Linked DNA regions of Cricetulus griseus. The protein of the gene in region 3 purifies or fractionates together with the protein of the main gene of each other region. This does not show direct contact. Links are inferred from orthologs where the notes say so. Each region holds a gene or a part of one and is shown on either strand. Other genes may lie near its edges.

Region 1 (4,089 bases), about 340 Mb from region 3:
ATGTTTGGGGAGGATTAGGAGGTGTGGCCTTGTTAGAGGCATGTTACTGGGAGTGGGCTTTGAGGTGTCAAAAAAACTTTCAACGTTCCCAGTTATCTTTCTCTGCCTAATATTTGGGGATCAGATGTCAGCTCTACCACGCCTACTTACCTGTAGCCTCTAACCCTCTGAAACTGTAAGTCCCAATACTTTTTCTCTAAGTTCCATTGTTCAGTGTCTCATCACAGCAACAGAAAAGTAAGATAAGTGGTAAGCACAAAAACTTTTCCAGAAACAATCTGAAAACAGTTCAGAAAAAAAAAATCCAACAAAGGGAGGCCAGTGGTCAAGTTGTTTCTAACATAAAATTATCTTTTAAAAAAATGAAAGCAGAAGTCTGAGTGGGGTGTGGTGGTAGTGGCAGCATGCTATATAGCTTTTCTACACTTCAGCTATCCACATCTGCTTATGGGCCCTATTATAAAGACAAACAGAAACATCCATGGAACTATAAAAGGGTCTGTTACTAAACTTCATGATCTAAAATCATTGAGCATTTATCATGAATGGCAATATGTAAGGCCTTCTGTTTTTAAACAGCATAGCAGGGCAACTCATTTTCCAGTCCCCTCCCAGCCACAGGGAACGGTTTCTTTTCTTCTCATACACTCGGCTTGCTTGCCCTTAAGACCAAACCATCAAAACCTCAGAAGATTAGTTTTGCACTTGAAGTGTTTTCATTTTTGCACATAGAACTTCCTGTGTTGCTTTTCTCTCCCTGGTGCTACAGAAACCCAAGACCTTGTTTATACTTCCAGTCCACTCCCCCACCACTCTTAGACATGTGGGGTTTTTTTTTTGTTTGTTTGTTATGGTCCTTTTTCTTTTTTTGGTCTTAGGGTCTCTCATTCTGTAGCTTAGACTGGTCTTGAATTCATGACAATTTCCTGCTCCAGTCACCAAGTGTGGGAATTATAAGTATGATCTATCATGCCTTGCCAAGCTTTCTAAATTTTACTATCACCCTTGGTTCCCCCCCTTTTTTTCTGAGATATGGTTTTTCTGTGTAGCCCATCTGTCTTCCTGTAACTCTCTTTGTAGACCAGGTTGGCCTTGAACTCACAGAAATCTGCCTGCCTCTGCTTCCCAAGTGCTGGGATTAAAAGCATTCGCCACCATGCCCGACCATCCTTGGTTTCTAACTATGACAAAGCAATTAAATCCTGGAAGAGGTGAAACAGGTCCTGTGAAGATGCAACAGGTTGCTCAGAGAACAGTGCTTCCTAACCCTTCATGGAAGAAGGGGCTCAGTAAGAGATGGGTACACTGCACGGAGGGAGGAACTTATGAGTATTCCATACTGATGGAAGGAATGTAAGCAGAGATCAAGGTCAGCAGAAGGCAAAACTACAATACACTCTATTTGCATTTTATGGTGGCAAATATTCCACCAAAATACAGAGCTTCTAGTCGGAGGTGCTGGCCCACACTCTGAATCCTAGCACTTCGGAGACAGAGGCAGGTGGATCGCTACTTGAGGCTAGCCCGGTCTACACACAGAGTTCTGGGTCAGCCAAGTTACACACTGTGACCCTGTCTCCAAAACGAAACAAACACTGCAAACCTTTCTTACTATATACAGAGGTTGCAAATGTCGCACTACAACTACAACAGGCCTGAGGTAATTGTTTATTTTCTCTGCCTCCTCACTTTTCTTCCTTTTTGAAGGAGGGTCTTCAGGAACTCAGGCTGGCCTCGAACTATGAAGCCGAGGATGACCTGAATTTCTGATCCTCCTGCTTCTATCTCCCAAGTACTGGGAAAACAGGCATTGGGCACCAAGTCCACCGAGGCAATGATTTCTTATATGACATGGTGTCCTCAACAGAAGTTAACTGTGAACAGCTCCCCTGTGATAAAGCATTAACCGAAGCAATGCCAAGGAACAAAGATAGTTTTGCTAGGAGTCAGTTCAAAACCAAAGTACCTCAAGACATCTCTCACACACACGATCATGCTGGAAAGATAACTTGAGAGGCTGAGGAGAAAAGGGACCATCCAATGCCTCAAAGGCCAAGAAAGTGTTAAGGTGGGGTTGGTCTTATATTTCTCTTTCCCCACCTTCCCACTACTCCAGCCCTACAAGAAGCCACAAGTGAGGAAGAGAAGTTGTGGAAACAAGACGGGTGTTGGTGGTGGAGTGAGATGAGGTACCCAAGAACATGTCCAGTTATCTCACACAAGGTCACTTGCTTGGAGTCACTTTCCCCTGCTCCCTCATGGGCTTCCCGCCAAAGATGCTCCAAAGCAGGTTAGGAGGCCAGCCCGACGCACCCCCTCGGCCTCAACCTGCGGACCACGACCCCCGCCTCCCCAGCCTTCTGGTCCGGACCAGCCCCACAGGACACCGGCTTTTGATGCCTACAACTCTGGCAGCCAGTCCCGGGGCTCCTCCGGTTCCGTCCCCTGAGGCTCCGTCAACGTCCCCTTCCTCCCTCAGGGCGTCCCTGTGCCCGCCTCCCGTTCGCGGTCCCTCCCGGGGGCCCGGCACGCCGTTCCTTTCCAGCCCCCGCTCACAGCCCTTCTTCCCGGTGCCCACCTGGCGCCCCGCCACTGCCCGGCTCCTGCAAGCCCCGGCCTCCTCCCAAGTCCTCCCGGCCCCGCCCCTGCTCCCGGGCGGATACAGTTTGAAGCCTCTCAGGATATCCCTGGCCCGCTCGTCCTTGGCTGACATGATGCGGCGCCTGCCGCCTGCGGCCCTCCCACGCTGGCTCGGCGGGGCCTCGCTGACGGTACCCAGGAACTGAGGACGGAGCTGCTGCCGGGCCGGACACCTCAGGCGAGCAGCGGTAGCGGCCAGACCCGAACCGGCCTCTCCCTCCCCTCAGCTCCCGCTCCTGATCCCTTCTCCTTCCCTCTAGTCGAGGAGCTCCCGCCCTGAAACCAATGGCAAGCCAGCCTTGACGATTGGCATTCCGAGCAGCCAATGGCAACGCTCAGCGGCTTCGCTCGGGGACAGAGAGCGTCAGTGGGAAAGGCCCTCCAGGAGGAGTCCCGGAGGACAGAATTTTCATTCGTGTTGTTGCCTGGAGTTTGTCCCAGCGGAGAGCAGTGGCTGGAAATCTTCAGAGGTTTGAGGAGCCTGCTCCCGTCGCCGGGCACACTTGCGGTCTGAGACTATGGCAGGCTGCTCTGTGCAAAGTGGCAGAAACTACATTTCCCAGGCTCCCAGGGAGTACGGAATCCCAGCTCGCCACTTAGAAGCCAGGGACTACAAATCCCAGCACAATCTGCGCTCCGTCTTTCTAACTTGGGCTCCAGTGTGCCGCGCAGGGTGCGCAAATTTGGAATCCTTCTGTAGGATTCGTTTCTGAATCCCGTTACTTGAAACCCGGCGGGAAGGTCCTCATTCTCCCTGGAGACATGACAGCCCGCCGACAGTTAACTTCTGTTTACACGGAACTCAGAAGTCTGCAAACCATGGTAAGACTGCAAACAACTAACAAAACCACGGATTAAGCCTTGAAAGATAATAGAACAAAATGACTTCCTCAAATAGTACTAATTTATTAGCCTGGAGTGCAGTTTTATGTGTTTTGCAGGGTTTATGTTGTGTTTCAGCTTCGGGCTGGGAGAGCTAAGGATTGTATACCCAATGTCAGTATAGGAAGACTTAAAAGAATTTGCCAGCCCAATCACTTTTATCTTTAGTTTTTAAATATGAGGAAATTGAGGACCGGAGAGGCATAGACTGGCCACAGATCACAGCAAGTTGAGACAGAATTTGGCTTTAAGTCTACTGACCTGCAATGTATTCGCTTTGCACTACCCTAGCTAGGGAGGCGATATTTTTAGCAGCATGACAATGTGATTGTTTTTCTTTTTAATGACAGTTTTCCCAACTAGTGTTGAAACACCTAGAGAATAGGTAAGCATTTATTTGGTGGATTTCCTGAACAGAACTATGGTGTGATAGTGTGATATCCTCAGTCTAATAGGTCTTGCTATTTTGATTTGCTTTTTTTGTCATTCAAGTTGACATTTAATATGATTTTTTTCCAGAAAGTAGGTAAAGTTATTTTAACCTCTGTTTCTTTAAAGATGGCTATG
Region 2 (3,629 bases), on a different chromosome or scaffold from region 3:
GGCGGCATTATTAGATATCAGTTGTGTCAAACATATCATTTATGTGGATAATAAGACTATCAATAAAGCAGAGTACCCTGAAGGGTTTGAGATTCACAGCATGCAATCAGTGGAAGAGTTGGGATCCAAGCCAGAAAACTGTAAGTGAATCAGTTAAAGTTAATTTCCCCATTTATTCGTGTTAGCTAATTTAATAGATTAGTAAAAGAAGTGACATTAGTAAAAATGCCAAAGCTGTTTAATGTTAAAAGTGATCAAGACTGTATATGACTGAAATTTCTTTTTCCTTTTTCCTGAAGAAGGCAATCTTGCCTGAATTTTTTGAAGACAACAAGCAGACTTTAGGTTAGAGTTGAGGTAGTCTTTTTTCCTTTAAAACTGTAGTCACAATATGAATTTGTATCATAGAAAAGAAGCCTGTGGGTAAATATTGTATTTTTTCACTGTTCTGGACAGTAAGCATGCCTATTATTCACACTAGAAGAGTGTACATCCTTTGAAAAGACAGTCCAGAGCAAATCAGCACCTCTACTGGCTCAATGCACAGAAATGGAAGAGATCCATGGAGAATTGTCTGTTGTCACCAGGTTGATATTGCAAGATTGGTGTGTGCTTGACTGGGAAGTTGTGATCAGCAGGGCCTTCTACTGCCAGGTCTTAGGCTTCACCAGAGCATGACACAAAAGCTTAGAAGATACATTATCAGTTCTCCCAATTTTGATTGAGAGTTGACATGAATCACTAACATCCATTTGTCTCCATGATAGATAGGATTTATAATTTTTACATGAGTATAGTCATTATCATAATAATAGTATATGTAGAATTATAATATATACTGTAGTTTGGGTTTTATAAGGACACATTTGCATGCTTATTCAAAAATAGAGGAGAAAAGTCGTGTTGTGTGCTTGGTGTGAGGACAATATAATGTGCCAGCCCATAACACTTTGCTGCTGCTTCAGTTCATCCTCAGATGACTTTTACCAATGGCCATGAACTTCCTGAAGGAGCTTTTGCTATAGCCTCTTTAAGTATATAACACTGTTTCTGATCATTTCATTGGTATGCTTTGCTCCCCACCCTTCAAGATGGGGTTTCTTTGTGCAGCCCGGGCTGTCCTAGAAATCACTCTGTAAACCAGGCTGGCCTCAAACTCTGCCTGCCTCTGCCTCCGGAGTGCTGGGATTAAAGGTGTGTACCAACATGCTGGGCTCTGAACCATTATTTAAAGCTAAGGAATCTATACATGGTGCTATTCTTTCAAAGCCTTAGAAACCCTTCCCAGTTCTGTACATAACACTGTGAAGAGGCTTGGTCATTTGGGGCTTAGACTCACCATCCTGATGGAATTTGAAATCTTTATTTCAGTCAACTGAAATTTGGTAAACATACTGTTTATTAATCCAGACCAATTTAGAAATGTTCCATTATGTTGAATGAAAATTCCTTCTTGTCAAGTAATTCACCCTTTGAACTGAAGATATTGTGCTTTTTCATTTATTTAGCAAGCATTCCTCCAAATCGACCAACTCCTTCAGACATGGCCATTGTCATGTACACCAGTGGTTCTACTGGCCGACCCAAGGGAGTGATGATGCATCATAGCAATTTGATAGCTGGAATGACAGGCCAGTGTGAAAGAATACCTGGACTTGGGTAAGAGATATCACTCAACTTAGGAATGCAGAGGTCATAATTAAGTTATGAATTTAAAGTGCCTTTTCAAAGTGGTTAATCTGTTTCTCTTTTTTTGTTTTAGACCAAAGGACACGTATATTGGTTACTTACCCTTGGCTCATGTGCTGGAATTGACAGCAGAGATATCTTGCTTTACCTATGGCTGTAGGATTGGATATTCTTCTCCACTTACTTTATCTGACCAGGTGACAAAATTTCACTTTGCTCATGATTTATTCAGTACAAAGGTCCCTGTGGCATCAAACATAGCTTTCCATGAATAATGTAGTACTAGTGTTGATTTAGGTCCATGTTTTAAAATAATTTTGAAAGAATTACTTTCATCTTTCTGAATTAGATTCTACTCTGGAAAATTTATACTGCAAAGTATATTCATGGAATGGTTGGCATACTGTTCAGGACCATTAACTGGTTCTTGGGAAGAGGTATAGGTTTTAAGCCTAGTTTTCTTCTGAACTTATTCTGGACCTGTGCTGCTAGCCCCATCTTTAAATAGAAATTCATTAAAATTAGATTAAAATTTCTTGGTTTTTTTGTTCTATCTAGCCACATTTCAGGTTCCTGATACCTATGTGACTGATTGCTATCATGTTAGACAGCACAGATACAAATATTTGATCTTTGCAGAAAATTCTGTTGGATAGCACTGTAGCATTTCCAAGGCCAGCCCTCAGCTTTACACTGAACCAGGGTTCTCCTTTCTCTCTTCTTGTTCATAGCAGAAAGCCCAACAATGATAGCACTAACTCATAGTTTAAACACATTTGAAATTACAGACAGAAAATAGCTTTATGAAGACAACAATTGAGTTCTACCTATGTGGTAGAACCTATGTTGTACTTCTTATTCTTACAGATTTCACTGTTTTTTGAGAGCTAGTTTTCTTTCCTATATTAGCCTGGTTAATGCATCATTTATCCGAATTTGTAAATGACTAGATCACATTATAGGAGTTTCTTACTTTTCTCTACTTTTTTCAGTGAGTGACTATATTAACTTTCTACCTGTCATTAATCTGACATTTGAAATTATGTTACTTCAAACAAATTGTGCACATTGAGGTGTGTATCTTCATGTCACCACATGCCACAAGCATGAGCCTTACTATGTTACCAACCAGAATATTATCAAATTATTACTTCTGTGTGACGTTAATTGATGTCCATAGTGGTTGTTTTCAGATACATCGTTGTCTTTTGAGTAATCAAAAAAAGTTAAAAATTCCTCCAATGTGCCAGGTGTGGTGGCACATGCCTTTTATCCAGTACTCTGGAAGCAGAGGCAGACAGATGTCTGTAAGTTCGAGGTCAGCCTGGTTTACAGAGTTCTAGGACAGCCAAGGCTACACAGAGAAACCCTGTTTCCAAAAACCAAAAAAGAAAAAAAAAGCCTTTACCTTCAATTTTGTTTTAGTGATAAGTCTGCTTAATGGGGCTTTTTAAAAATTGACATTTTCTTGAAAATTAAGTGTTAATATTTGATGGTGCATTAGTTCACCAGAATGTCTGTTGTTATCCTGGGTCAGTTTCTCTTCTGGAGAAGGCTGCAATGTGCTAGAAATGAAACAAATAGAATAAAATAGAGGAATCACATAGTCTGTGGACTTGCAATAGATGCTGCAATAAAAGATTAAATACTGTGCGTAAATTCTGTCTTTGTTATTAATAATTGAATTAGGCCCCCTACATTTTTGCTAACATCTGTTTCCCTGATTATATTTGTTTTTTCACTAATATAGTCCAGCAAAATCAAGAAGGGAAGCAAAGGTGATTGTACTGTGCTGAAACCCACTCTTATGGCTGCTGTTCCGGTGAGTACAGAATAGTCACACAAATAGAAAAGGGTCATTTATAATAGTTCTTGCTTATATTTCTAATTTTTAAAAAGTGATCCTCTTAGGTATATGTGTACACTTAAGGGATAATCTT
Region 3 (4,417 bases):
AAGGAAGGAAGGAAGGAAGGAAGGAAGGAAGGAAGGAAGGAAGGAAGGAAGGAAGATACAGCCCTTTCATTCAGATAAAAGGCTTGAAAAGAGGAGAATCTCAGTGATCTGTGGTGACCCCGAAAGCTAGAAGAAGCCAGCCAAGCAGCAGACTCAAGGCAAAGGCCAACAAGTGGAGCTTTGGGGAACACAAAGCTAAGCACGTGAGCATGAACTAAAAAAAGCTGCAAACTCAGATCCAAACAGGGGATCTTACTGACATAGATAGTGCCCTAAAGGGCACTGAGCAGCAGTTACCACACATCCTTGAACTGTGCAGGGCAACTCCTCCATAGTGACAACTCATAGCTGTCAGATAACAATCTGGGTATACCACTTACCACTCTCACTCCTCTGAGAGGTCCTCTTTGGGCTACAGAAGCCTCTCTAGAGGTTAGAATCCTTACTAATGAGGGTTTTGGAAGACTTGGGAGGGTACTTGGAAAAATAATGTGTGACTGCATTAGTGTCCAACTTGAGAAATAAGACAAACAGGTTAAACATCTAAACTGAAATAGATGGATCCCAAACAAGTGTTTCTCTAGCCCCTTTATGTTGACAATCCCATTGTCAGGTGAGTAGGGAAACAAATCCCGCTAACAGGGAAAGCAGCAGCTTGTTCACACAAAGCACATGGTAAGTGACTCAAGAGGAAAAGGCTCATCCATGAAGGCAAACTCAAGCAACAAAATGCTATCTAGTGTTCCTCTGTGACTGGGGCCCATTAAAGGAACATGTTTCTTTCTTATCTCCTTTGAAAAGCGGGTGAGGTGTTCTTTGTTGCTCAGGGCACTGTTACTCTGCCTATGACAGCTCAAGTTGGTTCACCATTTACACCTTTCCAGAGGGCCACTGCCCTGCCCCTGACTCCTGCCAATGCCCTCAGTTCTGTGCCACACACAGCATTGCATCATCATCATCAATGGGTTGGGCCAAAAAGGGATTCTACCATCTCCCAGGCCAAGGTCTGTCTCTATTTTATCTATTCTTATTGCCATCCCTCTTCACACTGTCACCATTGAAGGGAAGGATGAAAGGAAGGAAAAAAAGAAAACGGAGATGATGTCTGCACTACAACTGAAAAACAAAACCAGAAAGCAGGACTTGGTGGTGAGCGACTGGTGGTTGGCCACACAGCTCAATAGCTACTGGTGCTATCATGAAAATGTAATTCCCCTGATAACCATGGAAACCAAATGAAGGAACTATGCTGAAGGCTGCTCTCTTTAGATAGCTAAAAACAATAAGAGGCCAGAAACCAGAGGAACAAAGAAATGCAGGCATTCTAGGCCTGTGGAAATCCTTCCCTAAAAGCTTCAACAACGTACCATTTTCTCCAGTTTCTAAATCTCATCAAGCTTCCACCAGGCCTGGAGACGTGACAAGGTTCATGAAACAATTCAAGCCTCTCTTGCATGTGGGTACCCTGGGGCCAGCTGCTGTGAGGCAAGCTCCCTGGGAGCTGGAACTTATTGTTATCATAAAGCATACTGAGACCCAGCAGACACACACACACACACACACACACAAAACAGACTTTTATATAATCTCAAACTAACATAGTCAGCTATGGAGACAGCTTCATGGGGTCAGACACCATTGTCTGGTTCATAGCTTTATCTCATCCAGCTCCTTGTCGACGTACAAATACGCAGCAGGAATAAACGAGCATGGGAAAGCACAAGCATTCTTTCTACTACCCAGAGCCAACAGTGTTGAAGTGTGAGCAAAACCAAAGTCCTGGCCTCCTTCTGGCTCGTTTCTTTATGTGCAGGAAACAGCTGGATTACATGGGTTCCTAGGCATCTTCCAGTAGACTGTCAATCACTCTACTGTGCTTTTTTTGATGGGAGCACATGCCTGGCAGTTTTCTTTCCCCTCAGAGGGAATCTGATACCCATCTGCTCAAGTAAATTAGCGTTCCCATCCTGCCTGACTCATTCGGTAGGAACAACAGGTTCACATGCCAATGTGAAACAGAAGGCAAAGGGGGCCTGGGAAAGGGGAGAGGGTTCTACAGCCAAAACCCGTACTGTTTTCAGGATCACAAACACAGTGGATGGTGTGCTTACTGCAAGAAAGACGTCTCTCTTGGAGAGTCCTCTCTAGCTTGCTATTTTAATAATGCTCATGCCGAGAGAACTAAAGAGCCCTCTGTGCCCGCACCGTGCTCATCTCTTCAGCTTAATCCTCATAGCAACCTCTGGCTGACGTACTGTCTCTACTTTTAACGAAGCACCATCGACGTGGCTCAAGGTTGCCTGGCTAGTGGGTGGTGGAACTAAAACCAACTCCAGAGTTCTGGCTCATCAAATGGCTTTGCCATCAGTTCTTCGATGCAGGAGGGAGGCCGGGCAGCGGTTATCCCTCTTTCAAAGATTTTAGAAACCAAGTCTCCGCGATTTGCTAAAACCAAACCCACTGGGTGTCCGACTGCACACTGGCTCTGGCATCCCAGGTGAAGGCTGCAAACCGCAAAGGAGAATGAATTCTGTCGCACACCAGCAAAACCCTGGGGCTGAAGGCGACCGCGGGTGGTCCCGGGGAAGGAGGGGGGACCAAGGCACGGCTCTCCTGGAGCTCCGGCGGCCAAGCCCCCCCTCTCCCCCCCGCACTGCCTCAGGCCGGGTCCCCGCACCCCAGCCACAGGCTTGGCCCACGGCAGGACGGAGAGGCCGGTGGCCTGGAGCATCAGCGGGCTCCCGGGAGGCCTCCGGGGCGCGTCGAGGAACCCGCGCTCTTACCTCAGGGAGCGGCGCTGCGGGGCCGCGGCCGCGACGCCCTGGAAGCCGCAGGGCTGCCCAAGGACTGCGGCGCGCCGCCAGGAGGACCGACTTCGCCGCGAGCCCCGCCCCCGACAGCTGTCACGTGATGCGTGGGTGGAGCTCCGCTGCGAGCGCGCGACCCGAGCCTGGAGGCAAGGCGGAGCTAGCGGGGCTCTGAGAAGGGCGAGCGTGGCCTCTGAAGGGGCAGGAATAGCATCCGTGGGCGAGAACTGCAGGAGGATTCCAAGCGGTCAACGCGGATCCTTTCCTGCACGATTAGCCTAACAGCCCATGGGGCTCGGTGCGGATGAGCACATAGGAGCTGGGTTAAGCGGCCGAGCAGACTGACCCTGGCTAGAAGTCAGGAAGGACACTGGGGCCATGGGTTGGTTGTGTGGAAAGCTCTTGGTATAACAATGCATGACGCATGTAAATGATGTGTAGTAGTTGTTGGTGTCACTACTAGTTATGGGCCCAAGAGAACAAAACTGTGATGGCGCCTGCTCTGAAATCCATTCTATGGTGGAGATGGTAAACACAAGCTGCTATTTAAGTTCATATGAATTTAAAGTTATGTGAACTACGTGGAAGGGGCCTTGGTTTAAAACCAGGGGTTGAGGGACTTGATGAGAGTAGTCATATGGAAAAGGGGCAGGAAAAGTCTGTGTGAGAAAGCTCGTGAGCCAAGGGAGGCAAGATTGCTCCTTAGAGAAACACAAAGAGTTGCGGTTTTTTTAACAACAAAAAAATATTTTTTAAAAAAATCTGTGTATGGGTGTGCACTCTGTGCTTACAGGGGCTATTGGAAGCCAGAAGAAGGAGCTGGATCCCCTGGAACTGGGAATATAGACAGTTGTGAGCCGCCAAGGGAATCCTGGGCAAGAGCAATACACCTACCTCCTAACCACTAAGCTGCCTCTCCAGCCATGTGCAGGCACCCACCCCCAGCTCTGTCTGAGATCAAAGGGTATTAGAGTGGAGGCCATTGAAGGGGTGGAGAATGTGGGTGTTTGGACCCTGCTACTCTAGTGGAAAGCCAAGAGATTGGGCTGAAGTACTGGTGTGGATATGGGGACTCACAGATTTGAGACGGTTTTGCAGTAGAGTCTAATTTGGGCTGTTGTGGAAAAACTAGGGAAAATTCAATCTTCTAGCTTACCATAGATCCAGGAAGTGCTATTTGCAAAAACGGGACTGTCATAAGGGGAACATAAAGGTGGAGGATCAATAACTCAGTTGTGAACTTCTTAAGTTTGTGATGCCTATTAGCATCACGGTCACTGATTTTCAAGAGCAGCTGTGTGTGTGTGTGTGGAGGGGGGGTAGGAGAGATGGTCCAGCTGTTGAGAGCACTGGCTGCTCTTGGAGAAGACCCAGGTTTTATTCTCAGCACTCATGACAGCTTACTACCCTCTGTAACTCGACCCTCTTCTGGTCTCCTGGGGGTAACAGGCACACTTGATGCACAAACATACACACAGAGAAGCACACATACGCATAAAATAATTTTAAGATAAAGAAAAATAAGCATCTGGGCTGGAGAGATAGCTTAGCAGTTATGGTACTGGCTGCTCTTCCAGAGGACCTAGATTCAATTCCCAGCACCCAACTGT

The links.
Region 1: the proteins of Fbxo10 (region 3) and Pde6d purify together in Homo sapiens (affinity purification with mass spectrometry; 3 studies listed by BioGRID and IntAct, with this or other methods). This does not show direct contact. The link is inferred for Cricetulus griseus from reciprocal best matches to the Homo sapiens genes FBXO10 and PDE6D.
Region 2: the proteins of Fbxo10 (region 3) and Acsl4 purify together in Homo sapiens (affinity purification with western blotting; 3 studies listed by BioGRID, with this or other methods). This does not show direct contact. The link is inferred for Cricetulus griseus from reciprocal best matches to the Homo sapiens genes FBXO10 and ACSL4.

Annotation. Positions count from the first base shown.
Region 1 is NC_048595.1:438,252,332-438,256,420, forward strand, and holds the start of Pde6d (retinal rod rhodopsin-sensitive cGMP 3',5'-cyclic phosphodiesterase subunit delta), read right to left. Parts: upstream 2,882-4,089; 5' UTR 2,714-2,881; coding exon 2,664-2,713; intron 1-2,663. UniProt on the Homo sapiens protein: Promotes the release of prenylated target proteins from cellular membranes. Modulates the activity of prenylated or palmitoylated Ras family members by regulating their subcellular location.
Region 2 is NC_048604.1:38,225,027-38,228,655, forward strand, and holds part of Acsl4 (long-chain-fatty-acid--CoA ligase 4), read left to right. Parts: intron 1-1; coding exon 2-140; intron 141-1,508; coding exon 1,509-1,659; intron 1,660-1,762; coding exon 1,763-1,886; intron 1,887-3,439; coding exon 3,440-3,511; intron 3,512-3,629. UniProt on the Homo sapiens protein: Catalyzes the conversion of long-chain fatty acids to their active form acyl-CoA for both synthesis of cellular lipids, and degradation via beta-oxidation. Preferentially activates arachidonate and eicosapentaenoate as substrates.
Region 3 is NC_048595.1:98,366,556-98,370,972, reverse strand, and holds the start of Fbxo10 (F-box only protein 10), read right to left. Parts: upstream 2,882-4,417; 5' UTR 2,784-2,881; intron 1-2,783. UniProt on the Homo sapiens protein: Substrate-recognition component of the SCF (SKP1-CUL1-F-box protein)-type E3 ubiquitin ligase complex. Mediates the ubiquitination and degradation of BCL2, an antiapoptotic protein, thereby playing a role in apoptosis by controlling the stability of BCL2.